Linked DNA regions of Oryctolagus cuniculus. The protein of the gene in region 1 purifies or fractionates together with the protein of each later gene. This does not show direct contact. Links are inferred from orthologs where the notes say so. Each region holds a gene or a part of one and is shown in the gene's direction. Other genes may lie near its edges.

What was found.
Region 2: the proteins of UBXN7 (region 1) and NPLOC4 purify together in Homo sapiens (affinity purification with mass spectrometry; 3 studies listed by BioGRID and IntAct, with this or other methods). This does not show direct contact. The link is inferred for Oryctolagus cuniculus from reciprocal best matches to the Homo sapiens genes UBXN7 and NPLOC4.
Region 3: the proteins of UBXN7 (region 1) and TOPORS purify together in Homo sapiens (affinity purification with mass spectrometry; 4 studies listed by BioGRID and IntAct, with this or other methods). This does not show direct contact. The link is inferred for Oryctolagus cuniculus from reciprocal best matches to the Homo sapiens genes UBXN7 and TOPORS.

The regions. Positions count from the first base shown.
Region 1 is NC_091435.1:82,953,457-82,957,924, reverse strand, and holds the start of UBXN7 (UBX domain-containing protein 7), read left to right. Parts: upstream 1-1,081; 5' UTR 1,082-1,164; coding exon 1,165-1,237; intron 1,238-4,468. UniProt on the Homo sapiens protein: Ubiquitin-binding adapter that links a subset of NEDD8-associated cullin ring ligases (CRLs) to the segregase VCP/p97, to regulate turnover of their ubiquitination substrates.
Region 2 is NC_091448.1:1,117,396-1,121,772, forward strand, and holds the start of NPLOC4 (nuclear protein localization protein 4 homolog), read left to right. Parts: upstream 1-1,191; 5' UTR 1,192-1,347; coding exon 1,348-1,362; intron 1,363-4,377. UniProt on the Homo sapiens protein: The ternary complex containing UFD1, VCP and NPLOC4 binds ubiquitinated proteins and is necessary for the export of misfolded proteins from the ER to the cytoplasm, where they are degraded by the proteasome.
Region 3 is NC_091432.1:195,920,078-195,924,445, reverse strand, and holds part of TOPORS (E3 ubiquitin-protein ligase Topors), read left to right. Parts: intron 1-1,419; coding exon 1,420-4,335; 3' UTR 4,336-4,368. UniProt on the Homo sapiens protein: Functions as an E3 ubiquitin-protein ligase and as an E3 SUMO1-protein ligase. Probable tumor suppressor involved in cell growth, cell proliferation and apoptosis that regulates p53/TP53 stability through ubiquitin-dependent degradation.

The DNA.
Region 1 (4,468 bases):
ACCATTTTCCTGTAAAGATGCACAATATGCAGATGGAGGTGGGAGGCTGGAACATAAACTCCATGTCTTTAACTTTATTTTCAATTTGGGGAGTGTCAACCGATTTCAGTGTACTCTACACACAAAATTGTCCTAAAAATATTTAAAACTATGCAAGTAACACTAATACCATCTGAAATCGTGTGACACTACTATGTTTTTGTTTAAAAATAAAGGATTTAAAAAAAAGTCCACATTCACAATTCTCCCTATCGCTCTCCTCTCTAGAAGCAACCATTAATTGAGGTTTGGGACACTTCTCCAGGGTCCTTTCTGTACATTTTCTTTTGGCGCAAAAACACTTCCTTTTTTTTTTTTTTAAAGCCATCTGGTCACACCCCCTTTATACAGTTTTTTCACTATTCAGAATTCAGGGACTACCCACAGGGGCACTGTGTTGCTGAGACGGTGTTACACACGACTTAACCACGCTGCTTCCCTCACGCCAAAGCCATGTCCTCATTTCACAGGTGAGGAAACTCAGCGAGACCCTGAGGGGAGACTTGCGTTGGCAAGTTCAGTGACGCAAAGCAAACGAACAATCCTCCATGAAACCTCCCGTGTGTCGGAGCCCGCTCCCACCGCCTCCCTGGCGCGCGGGTTTCTGGCGTTTCACTCCTGCTGCGCTAGGTTAGCTAGGCCGTTAGTTTATAGAGGTTAGGAAGCCGCTTCGGCGCTAAGATGTAGGATTTCTATTTTTGATGGGAACCGCAGGAAATTCAGTAGCGTGCAGTGGAGCTGCCAAAAGGATAAACGCCACCATCAGCAGTTGGATCTATCGACGAAACTTGTTTAATAGACATTCGAAAGACCTACTACGGAAGCCAGGACTCCAAACCGAGTCCATCAAGCTGGCCTGGCAGCTCAGAGAGGCAGGCGCTAGAGGTTTGCAATGAGGATGCGGCCAGCAGGCAGCAACAGAGCAGCCAACCCGCGGAGCGCACAGAGCGCTCCGGCGCGGTGGGCAGTGCGCCTGCGCGGGCCGCGGGGCGGGGGGCCCGGAGGGGCGGAGCCTGGGGGCGGTCAATGAGCCTGCGCAGGCCGCGCGGCGAGGTGGGGGAGGGCGGTCCGTGTGTGTCTGTGTTGTTGTTCGGCGGCGGCGGCGGCGGCGGCGGCGGCGGTAAGATGGCTGCCCACGGGGGCTCCGCGGCGTCCTCGGCGCTGAGGGGGTTAATTCAGCAGTTCACCGCCATCACCGGTAAGAGACGCGGTTACCGGAAGGTGGAGAGTGGGGTCCAGAGCGGGCAGCGGGTCTGCCCCGGGCTCGCCCCTTACCTTCATGCGTCCCTCCCTCGGGCTTCACCCACAGCTCTCGTCCTCCCTCCGGAGGAAGAGGCGACGACGGCGTCGGGGTCTCCGGGTTCAGGCGGGAGACACCCCCCCGCGCGCTCCCCTTACCCTCCTCCTCGATCTCCTCGCAGTTCGAAGGGATAGCCCCTTTTACCTCCTGCCTGCCTAGACAGGGGATGGGTCGGGCCCTCCGCCCTCGCCGGCCGGGGGACCTGGGGGCGGGGAGGAGTGGGGGGCCGCACCCGGGCCACCGCCCTCCTCCATCATCGTCTCCTCAGTGTGCAGTCCTGGGGTGCCGCGCATCCCCTCACCTGCCTTTCCCTTTCTTCCCGGCCAGGTCAGCCTCTCCCCGTGAACCCTCCCCTCCCCCGGCGCTGGCCTGCCCTTCCCCTTTCTGGGCCCCTTGGAGCCATCGGTGTGGCCCTGGCGTGTTCGGGCCCTCCCGCCTTCACGCGGAGGCTGAGGGGTACGGCGGCGCCTTTACACATCCCAGGGGACAGGCCGCCAGAAATGGGGGTGCCGAGGAGTACCTTAGAGACCGAGGCTTTAGGAGAATAGTGAGGGGGCACCCCCAAGCTGAAGACGAGAGGCCTGGAGGAGTCCTGGGTGGCGTTTCCCACCTCCCCATAATAAAATCGTAACGATTGAGACCATGGCGCCGGGGCCTCCTGCTGATAGAATAGGGAAGACGGCAGAAACTTCTCGGGGAGAAAATGTGCGGCTGGGGGTTAGTGTCCCCCAAAACCCTAGGCCTGGTTTTTCCCTTTGCTCTGGACCCCTGCGAAGGGCCCAGACAGGTCTTACCGCCTGGAGGAGAGGCCCTGAGCCATTCTATGAATTCTCTAGGTCTTGTTTCTCTCTGATGGTGCTGAACTTTTTTTGCATGAGTTATTAGAGGGCGGAGCAAATGATGAAGTTCTCCGTGGAGTGATTTGAGAGACGAGTACTCCATGTGCCTGAGTGTAATTTTGCCGTTCTGGTTTGTCATTTTGGAAGGAGGTCAGAATGTTAGTTCCTTTTCTTAACAGATCTGTACTTCGTGTGGTAGCGGTTTGTTAGACACAGAGAATGTTTCCACCGGGTCATACTTGGACATGCAGGATATGGTTAAGTAGATTTTTAGGTTGTTTTACCCAGTACAGGTTTTATTGAAGTTGCTGTTTCATAACGAAAGCAGTTTTATTTATTTATTTATTTGCTCTGCAATGATAACTGCATGTTTGATGTGTTGTTATCTGGTTTGTGGCATGAAACATGACGTCAAAGTAGGTAAAGGGAAATTTGTGATGAAAGAGTGATGAGGAGTGAGTGGTAGCTTTTCATAATATCTTTAAACGTGTGATTGGTTTATTAAAGTTGTAATGGATTTCCCAGTGTTTAACCAGATTTGTTACAGAGACAGAAAATCATTGTGTAAATAAGTTAGTATGCTACATTATATTTGTAGAATTAAAGTGCACATTTATGTATCTTTAGATTTTCTAGAGATGGTTTAAAATGCCATTTAATTGCAGTTTCATATATGACCCTTACTATTAACTTTTTTTTTTAAATCTTTATTTTATTTGAGAAGGAGAGAAAGGGAGAGGTATCTTCCTTCCAGCTGCTGGGTCACTCTCCAAATGCTCACAGTAGCTGGGGTTGGGCCATGCTGAAGCAGGAGCCAGGAACTCCATCCTGGTCTCCCATGAGGTAGCAGAGACCCAGGTACCCGAGACATCACCCGCTGCTTCTCAGGGCGCGGGTTAGCAGGAAACCGGGCTGCAGCTGAGCTGTGCCACACAGGATGTGCACATCACAAGCCGGGTCTTCACTGCTGTGCCAGATGCCCACTCCTCACTCTCTTCTCCTGCAACATTTTTATTAGATATACATAAAGCTCAAAGTATGGTGAGACAGATTGACTCCTTACTTGCTATAGGGCTGTTTTTCAGTTGGACAGCTTGTTTCCTGGTTGCAGGTCTCTGTATTGCTGAGTCTGATTAGAAGTCCCTCAGTAGACCAGTGGTGTCTGGAATTCTACAGAATGGCAAATAACCTTACACTGTTCTTGATGTGCAGTGAATTTCTATTGATAATTTTTGGGTCTGTTTTTACTAGATGGTGATTAGCCATTAGAAACACATGATCCCTTTAAGCCAGAGGTGAGGAACCATTTTTCTGCCAAGGGCGATTTGGATATTTATAACATCATTTGCGGGCCATACACAATTATCAGCTTGAAAATTAGCCTGCTATAGATTTATTGAATTCCGAGTCTCACTGGCCGTTGCCTTGGCAGGGCCAGACCAAATGATTTCCCTGGCCTTGTATGGTTTGTTGCCTGGACATTCCTCACCCCTGCTTTAAGCCTTTTTCCACATACCTTAGAATGAACTTTTCAGCATTCTAAAATGTGAATTCTCATGTATTTTTTATTTTATAAAATATATAAACATAAATATGTCTTTATATATTAATATATAAATATATCTATATATTGAATATAAATATAAATTTTATATATTTAAAATATAAATTTATGTTTATATTATATAAATAGATGATATGTTTATTATATAAATATAAATAAATATAAAGTATTTTGTAAGATTTATATATTTATTTGAATGTCAGAGTTACACAGGGAGAGAAAGAAAGGCAGAGAGAGAAAGGTTTTCCGTCTGCTGGTTCATTCCCCAATTGGCCGCAACAGCCGGAGCTGCACCCATCCGAAGCCAGGAGCCAGGAGCTTCCTCCGGGTCTCCCACGTGGGTGCAGGGGTCCAAGGACTTGGGCCATCTTCCACTGCTTTCCCAGGCCACAGCAGAGAGCTGGATAGGAAGTGGAGCAGCCGGGACTCGAACCAGTGCCCATATGGGATGCTGGCACTGCAGGCAGTGGCTTTACCTGCTGTGCCACAGCGCCGGCCCCTTCTTATGTATTTTAAATTGTGTTTATGATTAAGAGGTATTTGATATATATTCATGACTGGATGAATTAAACTGAACTTAAGAGTTTATGCTCTGATTTCAAAAAGTTTTACTTATCTGGAAACTCAAGCTGCTGCTAAAAGCAAATGTATCTTGAAAAAAATGAGTCTTACTTTTTGTGTAGCATTTGGAAGTAGAAGAGAAAATGGAAAGATTCTATGTACTTA
Region 2 (4,377 bases), on another chromosome or scaffold:
GCCCTAACCCTAACCCAACCCTAACCCTAACCCAACCCTAACCCTAACCCAACCCTAGCCCTACCCCTACCCCTAACCCAACCCTAGCCATAACCCTAACCCTAACCCTAACCCTAACCCAACCCTAACCCAACCCTAGCCCTACCCCTACCCCTAACCCAACCCTAGCCATAACCCTAACCCTAACCCCAACCCAACCCTAGCCCTAACCCGAACCCAACCCTAGACCTAACCCTAACCCTAACCCAACCCTAGCCATAACCCTAACCCTAACCCTAGACCTAACCCTAACCCTAACCCTAACCCAACCCTAGCCCTAACCCTAACCCTAACCCAACCCTAGCCCTAACCCTAACCCAACCCTAACCCTAACCCTAATCCAACCCTAGCCATAACCCTACCCCTAGCCCTAACCCAACCCTAACCCTAACCCTAACCCTAGCCCTAACCCTAACCCTAGCCCTAACCCTAACCCAACTCTAGCCCTACCCTAACCCTAACCCAACCCTAACCCTAACCCAACCCTAACCCTAACCCTAATCCTACTCCTAACCCTAACCCTAACCCTAACCCTAGCCCTAACCCTAGCCCTAACCCTAACCCTAACCCTAACCCTAACCCAATCCGACCCTGACCCTGACCCTGACCCTCCGCATGGGAGATGGGGGGTCCCCGGCTGTGCGTCCTCCTCTGCCACTCCGCCCGCCTTTCAGAGACAGCAGGCGCAGGAGGAAGCCCCGCTTGGCTGGCGCGGGCTCATCTACCAGGGGCGTGAAAGTTCTGGGAGAAATGGGATTAAAGTCTGTTTCAGCGCAAAAAATGTGAAACCTACGCACGAAGATGGACCCCGCCCCGCCGAGATTACTTCTTGCTCGTCTGTGAGCAGCCTGACGCCTGCAACTCCGCAGCGAGCCCCGGCGAGGCTTCGGACGCGCGGGGGTCTCCGCGCAGCCGCCCCGCAGCCGCCCCGCAGCCGCCCCTCAGCCGCCCCGCAGCCGCCCCGCAGCCGCCCCGCAGCCGCCCCGACGCCCGGGCACGCGCGCTCGCCGAGGGGGCGGAGCCTGGCCGGATGGGCAGCTGAGGGGGCGGGGCCGCGCGCCGCGCCCGCGCATGCGCGGGGCCGTCCCTGAGGCCGGAACCTGCGTTGCGGGCTGAGGGCCCGGCGGAGCGCGTCAGGCGAAGCACCGGACGTCGGCGGCGGCCGGGCGGGCGGCGAAGCTGGAGCGGCGGTGGCGGCGGCGGCGGGAGGCCGGGGCCGGGGCTGAGGCCGGGGCTGCGAGGCCCACGGGGCGGCAGGCGGCGGCGGCGGCGGCCCGGGGCTCGAGCCCGGAGACAGCGGCGGCCGCCATGGCCGAGAGCATCGTGAGTGCGGCGGCCGGGCGGGAGCGGGGCGCCGGGATGAGGCAGCAGATTTGCGCGGCGGCCTGTGGGGAGGCGGCGCCGCGGCCGGCCCTCCCCTGGCCTCGGCGGGCCCCTCCGCGGCGTCGGCCCCTCGGCGTGCTCCCGCGCCTGGCTCTGGCCGGGCCTGTCGTGACCCGGCGGCCGGCGGGCAGGGCCGGGCCGGGCGCGTCCGCAGTTGCGGAGCCGCCTGGCGGGAGCCCTCGGGCCCCCGAGCGGGGTCGCGGCCTTCCCAAGGCCGCCTTCGGGGCTCCGCGGCCTCGCGCTCCGCCTGGGCGGGAGCGGCCGGGAGGGGGGCGCGGGACCGGACACCTGCCTGCTGGGAACGGGCGACCGGCCGGGCTGACGCTTGTCCCGGACTGCGCCGCTTCCCGCCCAAAGTTGGCCAAAGGAAATGGCCAGGAAATCAGAAAGACAGCGGTCACGGCGAACTCGTGAGAAGTTGCGCCGGGAAGGCGCCGAGGGGCTTGGGGTCTCCGGGGGGAGCGGCACCGGCGCTGACAGCCCGCGGCCGTGCGGGTCCCGGCTGCGTTTGTGGGACCCCCGCGGCCGTGTGCGGGTCCCGGCTGCGTTTGTGGGACCCCCGCGGCCGTGTGCGGGTCCCGGCTGTGGTTGTGGGACCCCCGCGGCCGTGTGCGGGTCCCGGCTCCGTTTGTGGGGCGCCCGCGGCCGTGCGGGTCCCGGCTGCGGTTGTGGGGCGCCCGCGGCCGTGCAGGTCCTGGATGCGGTTGTGGGACCCGCGCGGCCGTGCAGGTCCCGGCTGCGGTTGTGGGGCGCCCGCGGCCGTGCGGGTCCCGGCTCCGTTTGTGGGACCCCCGCGGCCATGCGGGTCCCGGCTCCGTTTGGTGCCTTGGCTCCCCAGCCTTGGCCTCCGGGCGGGTAGGAGGTGAGGCTTCCTCTCTCGTTGAATTTCCCAGGCGGTGAGGAGTTAAAGCAGTCCTCTTTGAAATCGCTGTCGAAGTTTTTTTTAAGTTAGACTTTAGAACCGGTTTCTGTGGGTGTAGCTGACTTGTTCCATCAGTCCTTCATCTCCCGAGGGGTGGCGGGGCCGGGGTCCCAGGGCGCCCAGCGGTGTCGGTGTTCCGGGCGGGGGTCCCAGGGCGCCCAGCGGTGTCGGTGCTCCGGGCGGGGGTCCCAGGGCGCCCAGCGGTGTCGGTGTTCCGGGCGGGGGTCCCAGGGCGCCCAGCGGTGTCGGTGCGCCGGGCCGGGGCCGCAGGGAAGCGCAGCCCAGGCTTTGAGAGGTTCCAGGAACGAGCAGACGCAGGCCTTGCCGCTGCCGCGGAAGCGCACCTGCTCGCCAGAGACAGTAAGGAGGTGTAGACGGTTTAACAGGCGTGGGTACGAAGCGAAAGGATGTAAGATGTTTTGTGCTCTTCACAGTTGGGAAACTCGGATCATTCAAGACAGTCTTCAAGGTTGAGAACTTATGGGGCAAACCCTTTTCAGCCAAGTGGGAGGTTTTTTTTTAAACTTTTTTTCTATTTGCCAGGCAGAGTTGGACAGTGAGAGAGAGAGAGAAAGGTCTTCCTTCCGTTGGTTCACCCCCCAAATGGCTGCCACAGCCAGCGCCCAAAGCCAGGGGCCAGGGCCTCCTCCTGGTCTCCCATAGGGTGCAGGGCCTAAGCACCCAGGGCATCCTCCACTGCACTCCTGGGCCACAGCAGCGCCGGATCCGAAGTGGAGCAAACACGGCACAAACCGGAGCCGTTGTGGATGCTGGCGCTGCAGGCGGCCCCGCCCCCTCAGGCGGTGCCCAGGCCTGCTGACCTTCCAGACCAGTCCTGTCAGTGTGTGTGTGTATTTATTTTTGACAGGCAGAGTGGACAGTGAGAGAGAGAGAGACAGAGAGAAAGGTCTTCCTTTGCCGTTGGTTCACCCTCCAATGGCCGCCGCGGCCGGCGCGCTGTGGCCGGCGCACCGCGCTGATCCGATGGCAGGAGCCAGGAGCCAAGAGCCAGGTGCTTCTCCTGGTCTCCCATGGGGTGCAGGGCCCAAGCACTTGGGCCATCCTCCACTGCACTCCCTGGCCACAGCAGAGGGCTGGCCTGGAAGAGGGGCAACCGGGACAGAATCTGGCGCCCCGACCGGGACTAGAACCCGGTGTGCCGGCGCCGCTAGGCGGAGGATTAGCTTAGTGAGCCGCGGTGCCGGCCCGAGAAAGGTCTTCCTTTATCGTTGGTTCACCCTTTTTTTTTTTTTTTTTTTTTTTTTGACAGGCAGAGTGGACAGTGAGAGAGAGAGACAGAGAGAAAGGTCTTCCTTTTGCCGTTGGTTCACCCTCCAGTGGCCGCCGCTGCAGCCGGCGCACCGCGCTGATCCTGGCAGGAGCCAGGAGCCAGGTGCTTTTCCTGGTCTCCCATGGGGTGCAGGGCCCAAGCACCTGGGCCATCCTCCACTGCACTCCCTGGCCACAGCAGAGAGCTGGCCTGGAAGAGGGGCGACCGGGACAGAATCCGGCGCCCCAACCGGGACTAGAACCCGGTGTGCCGGCGCCGCAAGGTGGAGGATTAGCCTATTGAGCCACGGCGCCGGCCCGGTTCACCCTTTAATGGTCGCTGCAGCCAGTGCGGCAGCCATTGGAGGGTGAACCAACGGCAAAAGGAAGACCTTTCTCTCTCTCTCTCTCTCTCTCTCTCTCACTGTCCACTCTGCCTGTCAAAAAAAAAAAAAAAAAAAGAAAAGAAGAAGAATGATGATTGGGGCCGGTGCTGTGGTGCAGTGCGTGGGAGACCTGGAAGAAGTTCCTGACTTTGGCCTGGCACAGCCTTGGTCACTGTGGTCATTTGGGGAGTGAACCAGATGGAAGCTCTCTCTGTCTCCTCTCTATAACTCTACCTTTCATTTTTGTTTTAAGATTTATTTATTTATTTGAAAGAGTTACACAGAGAGAGGAGAGGCAGAGAGAGAGAGCAGTCTTCTATCCAATGGTTCTCTCCCCAGTTGGCCGCAATGGCTGGAGCTGTGCCAACCTGAAACCAG
Region 3 (4,368 bases), on another chromosome or scaffold:
AGAAAACAAAGCTAATCTTTAAGATTCTAGTGATCGTTTGGGAAAAGGTAATAGGTAAGGGAAATGAAACATAATTTCAAGATACCTTGGTGTTGACTTTTGGATTAAATAAAAAAGGCAAGGAAGGCTTTTTAGAAATGCTGACTATAATAGTACAATAACAATAGCATAGTAGTCATAATAATAACAGTACTCAGTGGGCACTATTAGTCAGCCATTGCCCTTAAGTGCTTTTACATTTATTTGACTTTATCTCCACTGAAAGATCCCTTTTTAAGTAATTTTTGAGAACTATAGAATTAAACAGGTGAACTTTGATATGTAAATTATATTTCACTAAAGCTGTTTTAGAAGAGTACATATACAATATTATCATAAAGTAAATCAATACTATATAATATTAAGGGCATATGTGCATGAAAGGTAGGAAATAGACAGAAATAGTATAAATTAAGGGGAGTGATCCAGCGGAAGGAAGACCTTTTTCTCTCTCTCTCTCTCACACTGTCTATAACTCTACCTGTTGAATTAAAAAAAAAAAAAGTATCAATTGAAGGTTGTGTTTTTTTTTCTCTTAGAGATAGAGGAATGAATAAAAGAAATCTGGAGCAACTATGAAAAGTGTTAAATCTGAGTGGTAGATACATGGGTATTTGGAATATTTTGTTTTGATCTTTTTTGGGTATATATGAAATATTTTTCAGTGAAATTATTAGTATTAATATTTTTAAAGATTCATTTATTTACTTGAAATTCAGAGTTACACAGGGAGAGAAGGAGGGGCAGAGAGAGGTCTTCCATCTGTTGGTTCACTCCCCAGTTGGCCTCAATGGCTGGAGCTGTACAGATCCAAAGCCAGGAGCTTCTTCCAGGTCTTCCATGTGGGTGCAGGGGCCTAAGGACTTGGACCATCTTCCACTGCTTTCCCAGGCCATAGCAGAGAGCTGAATGGGAAGTGGAGCAGCTAGGACTTGAACCTACACCCATATGGGATATCAGCACTACAGGCTGCGGCTTTACCCGCTGCGCCACAGTGCCAGCCCAGTTAAATTATTTTTTAAACAAAATAGAATATTACGTAATATTTAAGAGATTATTAAGTTCTGGGTACCTTTTCTAATGTCTTTTTACATCTTTACAGACCCTGGGAGGCAGGTTCTATTATAACTGACCTACAGGTGAAAGTAAAGCGCATGCGTAGTAACTGGTCCACAGTCACACTGATAGTATGCAACCAGGATTTAAGACCAGGAAATCTAACTTTAGTGCTTGTGCTGTATGTTACTATATATTCCTATGCTATAAACCATTCAGGTATTTTCACCAAAGTATGTTCCAAGGTCTTTATTGCATTTTTGTTCAGATTATTTAGTCATTCTTTTTTTTCAGGTTACTGATATATTTCTTTCCCTTTTACAGATAATGGCATCAGCTGCTAAAGAATTTAAAATGGACAACTTTTCACCTAAAGCTGGCACTAGCAAATTGCAGCAGACAGTACCAGCTGATGCATCTCCTGATTCTAAGTGTCCTATATGCTTGGATAGATTTGATAATGTGTCTTACTTAGATCGCTGCTTACATAAGTTCTGTTTTCGCTGTGTACAGGAGTGGTCAAAAAACAAAGCTGAATGTCCACTATGTAAACAGCCCTTTGATTCTATTTTCCATTCTGTGAGGGCAGAAGATGACTTTAAGGAGTATGTCTTAAGGCCTGCATATAATGGTTCCTTTACTACCCCTGATGTTCGGCGATTTCGCTACCGTACAACCATGACAAGGGAGCGGAATGCATCTGTTTATTCACCTAGTAGCACCGTGAATAGAAGAACAACCACTCCGCCAGACAGTGGAGTACTATTTGAAGGATTAGGCATTTCAGCAAGACCTAGAGATGTTGAAATTCCTCAATTTATGAGACAGATTGCAATAAGGAGGCCAACTAATGCAGATGAACGATCTTTACGGAAAATTCAAGAACAAGATATTATTAATTTTAGACGAACTCTCTATCGTGCAGGTGCTCGAGTTAGAAATATTGAAGATGGTGGCCGCTACAGGGATATCTCAGCAGAATTTTTCCGTAGAAATCCAGCTTGCCTTCATAGATTAGTCCCCTGGCTAAAACGTGAGCTCACAGTTCTTTTTGGAGCTCATGGATCTTTAGTCAATATTGTCCAGCACATCATCATGAGTAATGTGACTCGCTATGACTTGGAGAGTCAGGCGTTTGTGTCTGACTTAAGGCCATTTTTACTTAATCGAACTGAGCATTTTATACATGAATTTATCAGTTTTGCTCGATCTCCTTTTAATATGGCAGCTTTTGATCAACATGCCAATTATGATTGCCCTGCTCCTTCATATGAAGAAGGCAGCCATTCTGATTCTTCAGTCATAACAATATCTCCAGATGAAGCCGAGACCCAAGAACTGGATATGAACATTGCCACTGTTAGTCAGGCACCGTGGGATGATGAAACTCCAGGACCATCTTACTCAAGCTCAGAGCAGGTACATGTTGCCATGTCTTCCGTTTTAAATACTTCGGACAGCTCAGATGAAGAACTTGTCACAGGCGGAGCCACATCTCAGATACAAGGTGTGCAAACCAATGAGGACCTAAATAATGACAGTGATGATTCTTCAGATAATTGTGTCATCGTTGGGTTTGTTAAACCACTAGCTGAGCGGACCCCAGAACTTGTTGAACTGTCCTCTGATTCTGAGGAGTTAGGCTCGTATGAGAAAATGGAGACAGTGAAGGCACAAGAACAAGAGCAGTCTTACAGTTCCAGTGATAGTGATGTGAGTAGATGTTCATCTCCACGCTCTGTCCTTGGAAAGAATGAGCAAATGAATAAAGGCCGTTGTGATTCTGGTACAAGAATCAAATCAAAGAAGGAAGAAAAACGATCTACATCAGTATCATCTCCCAGAGACCTGAGAGGAGACAGAGTAAATTCCCTGTATAACCATAGACACAGGAAGAGGGGAAGATCAAGAAGTTCAGATTCACGGTCCCAAAGTAGAAGTGGGCATGATCAGAAAAATCATAGAAAACATCATGGGAAGAAAAGAGTGAAGAGCAAACGATCCAGAAGCAGGGAGAGTAGTAGACCTAGAGGGAGAAGAGACAAAAAGAGATCACGAACTAGAGATAGCAGTTGGTCAAGAAGAAGCCAAACTCTCTCTCTAAGTAGTGAAAGCACAAGCAGATCAAGGTCTCGTAGCAGTGATCATGGGAGAAGAAGATCACGGAGCAGAAATAGAGATCGTTACTATTTAAGAAATAATTATGGAAGCAGATACAAGTGGGAATATACTTACTATAGTAGAAACAAGGACAGGGATGGCTATGAATCATCTTATAGGAGGAGGACTCTGTCTAGAGCCCACTATTCCAGACAATCTTCAAGTCCAGAATTTAGAATTCAGTCTTTTTCTGAAAGAAATGCCAGGAAAAAGAATAATCACAATGAAAGGAAATATTACTATTATGAAAGGCACAGATCAAGGAGCCTGTCTAGTAATAGATCAAGGACTGCATCTACAGGACCTGACCGAATGAGAAATGAAAAGCCTGGTGGGAAACGAAAATATAAAACACGGCATTTGGAGGGTACTAATGAAGTGGCTCAACCGTCCCGTGAGTTTGCTTCTAAAGTGAAGGATAGCCATTATCAAAAATCTTCATCAAAATTGGATGGAAACTATAAAAATGAGAGTGATAGCTTTTCAGACAGCCGATCATCAGACAGAGAGACAAAACACAAGAGGAGGAAAAGGAAAACCAGGAGCCTAAGTGTGGAGATAGTTTATGAAGGAAAAGCTACTGATACAGCTAAACATCATAAAAAGAAAAAGAAGAAACACAAGAAGAAGCATAAGAAACACCATGGAGATAATACTTCACGGTCCCCAGTTGTTATTACCATTGACAGTGACAGTGATAAGGATTCTGAAGTCAAAGAAGATACAGAATATGACAATAATGGTCTTCCAGACCCTCTACATAATGAGTTTTTGGCTCCTTCCTTGGAACCATTCGAAACTAAAGAGGTTGTTACAATAGAAGATGAATTTGGAGTCCTGGATAAAGACTGTGACATTACCACACTTACTAGCAACTTAAATAATGGCAACAAAACTGTGGATGTTATTCCACCCCAGGCAACTTCAGTTGAACAAACTCTTGACGTGAGAGAAGAGAGCACCTTTGCCTCTGATTTGGAGAACCAGCCCAGTAATGTGTCTCTTCAGTCTGAGCCATTAAGGCAGTTGCCATCTCCACGGACATCATTAATGTCAGTGTCTCTTGGTAGAGACGGATAGGTCTTAAAAGCATCTCATTGAGAGTTTTGATGG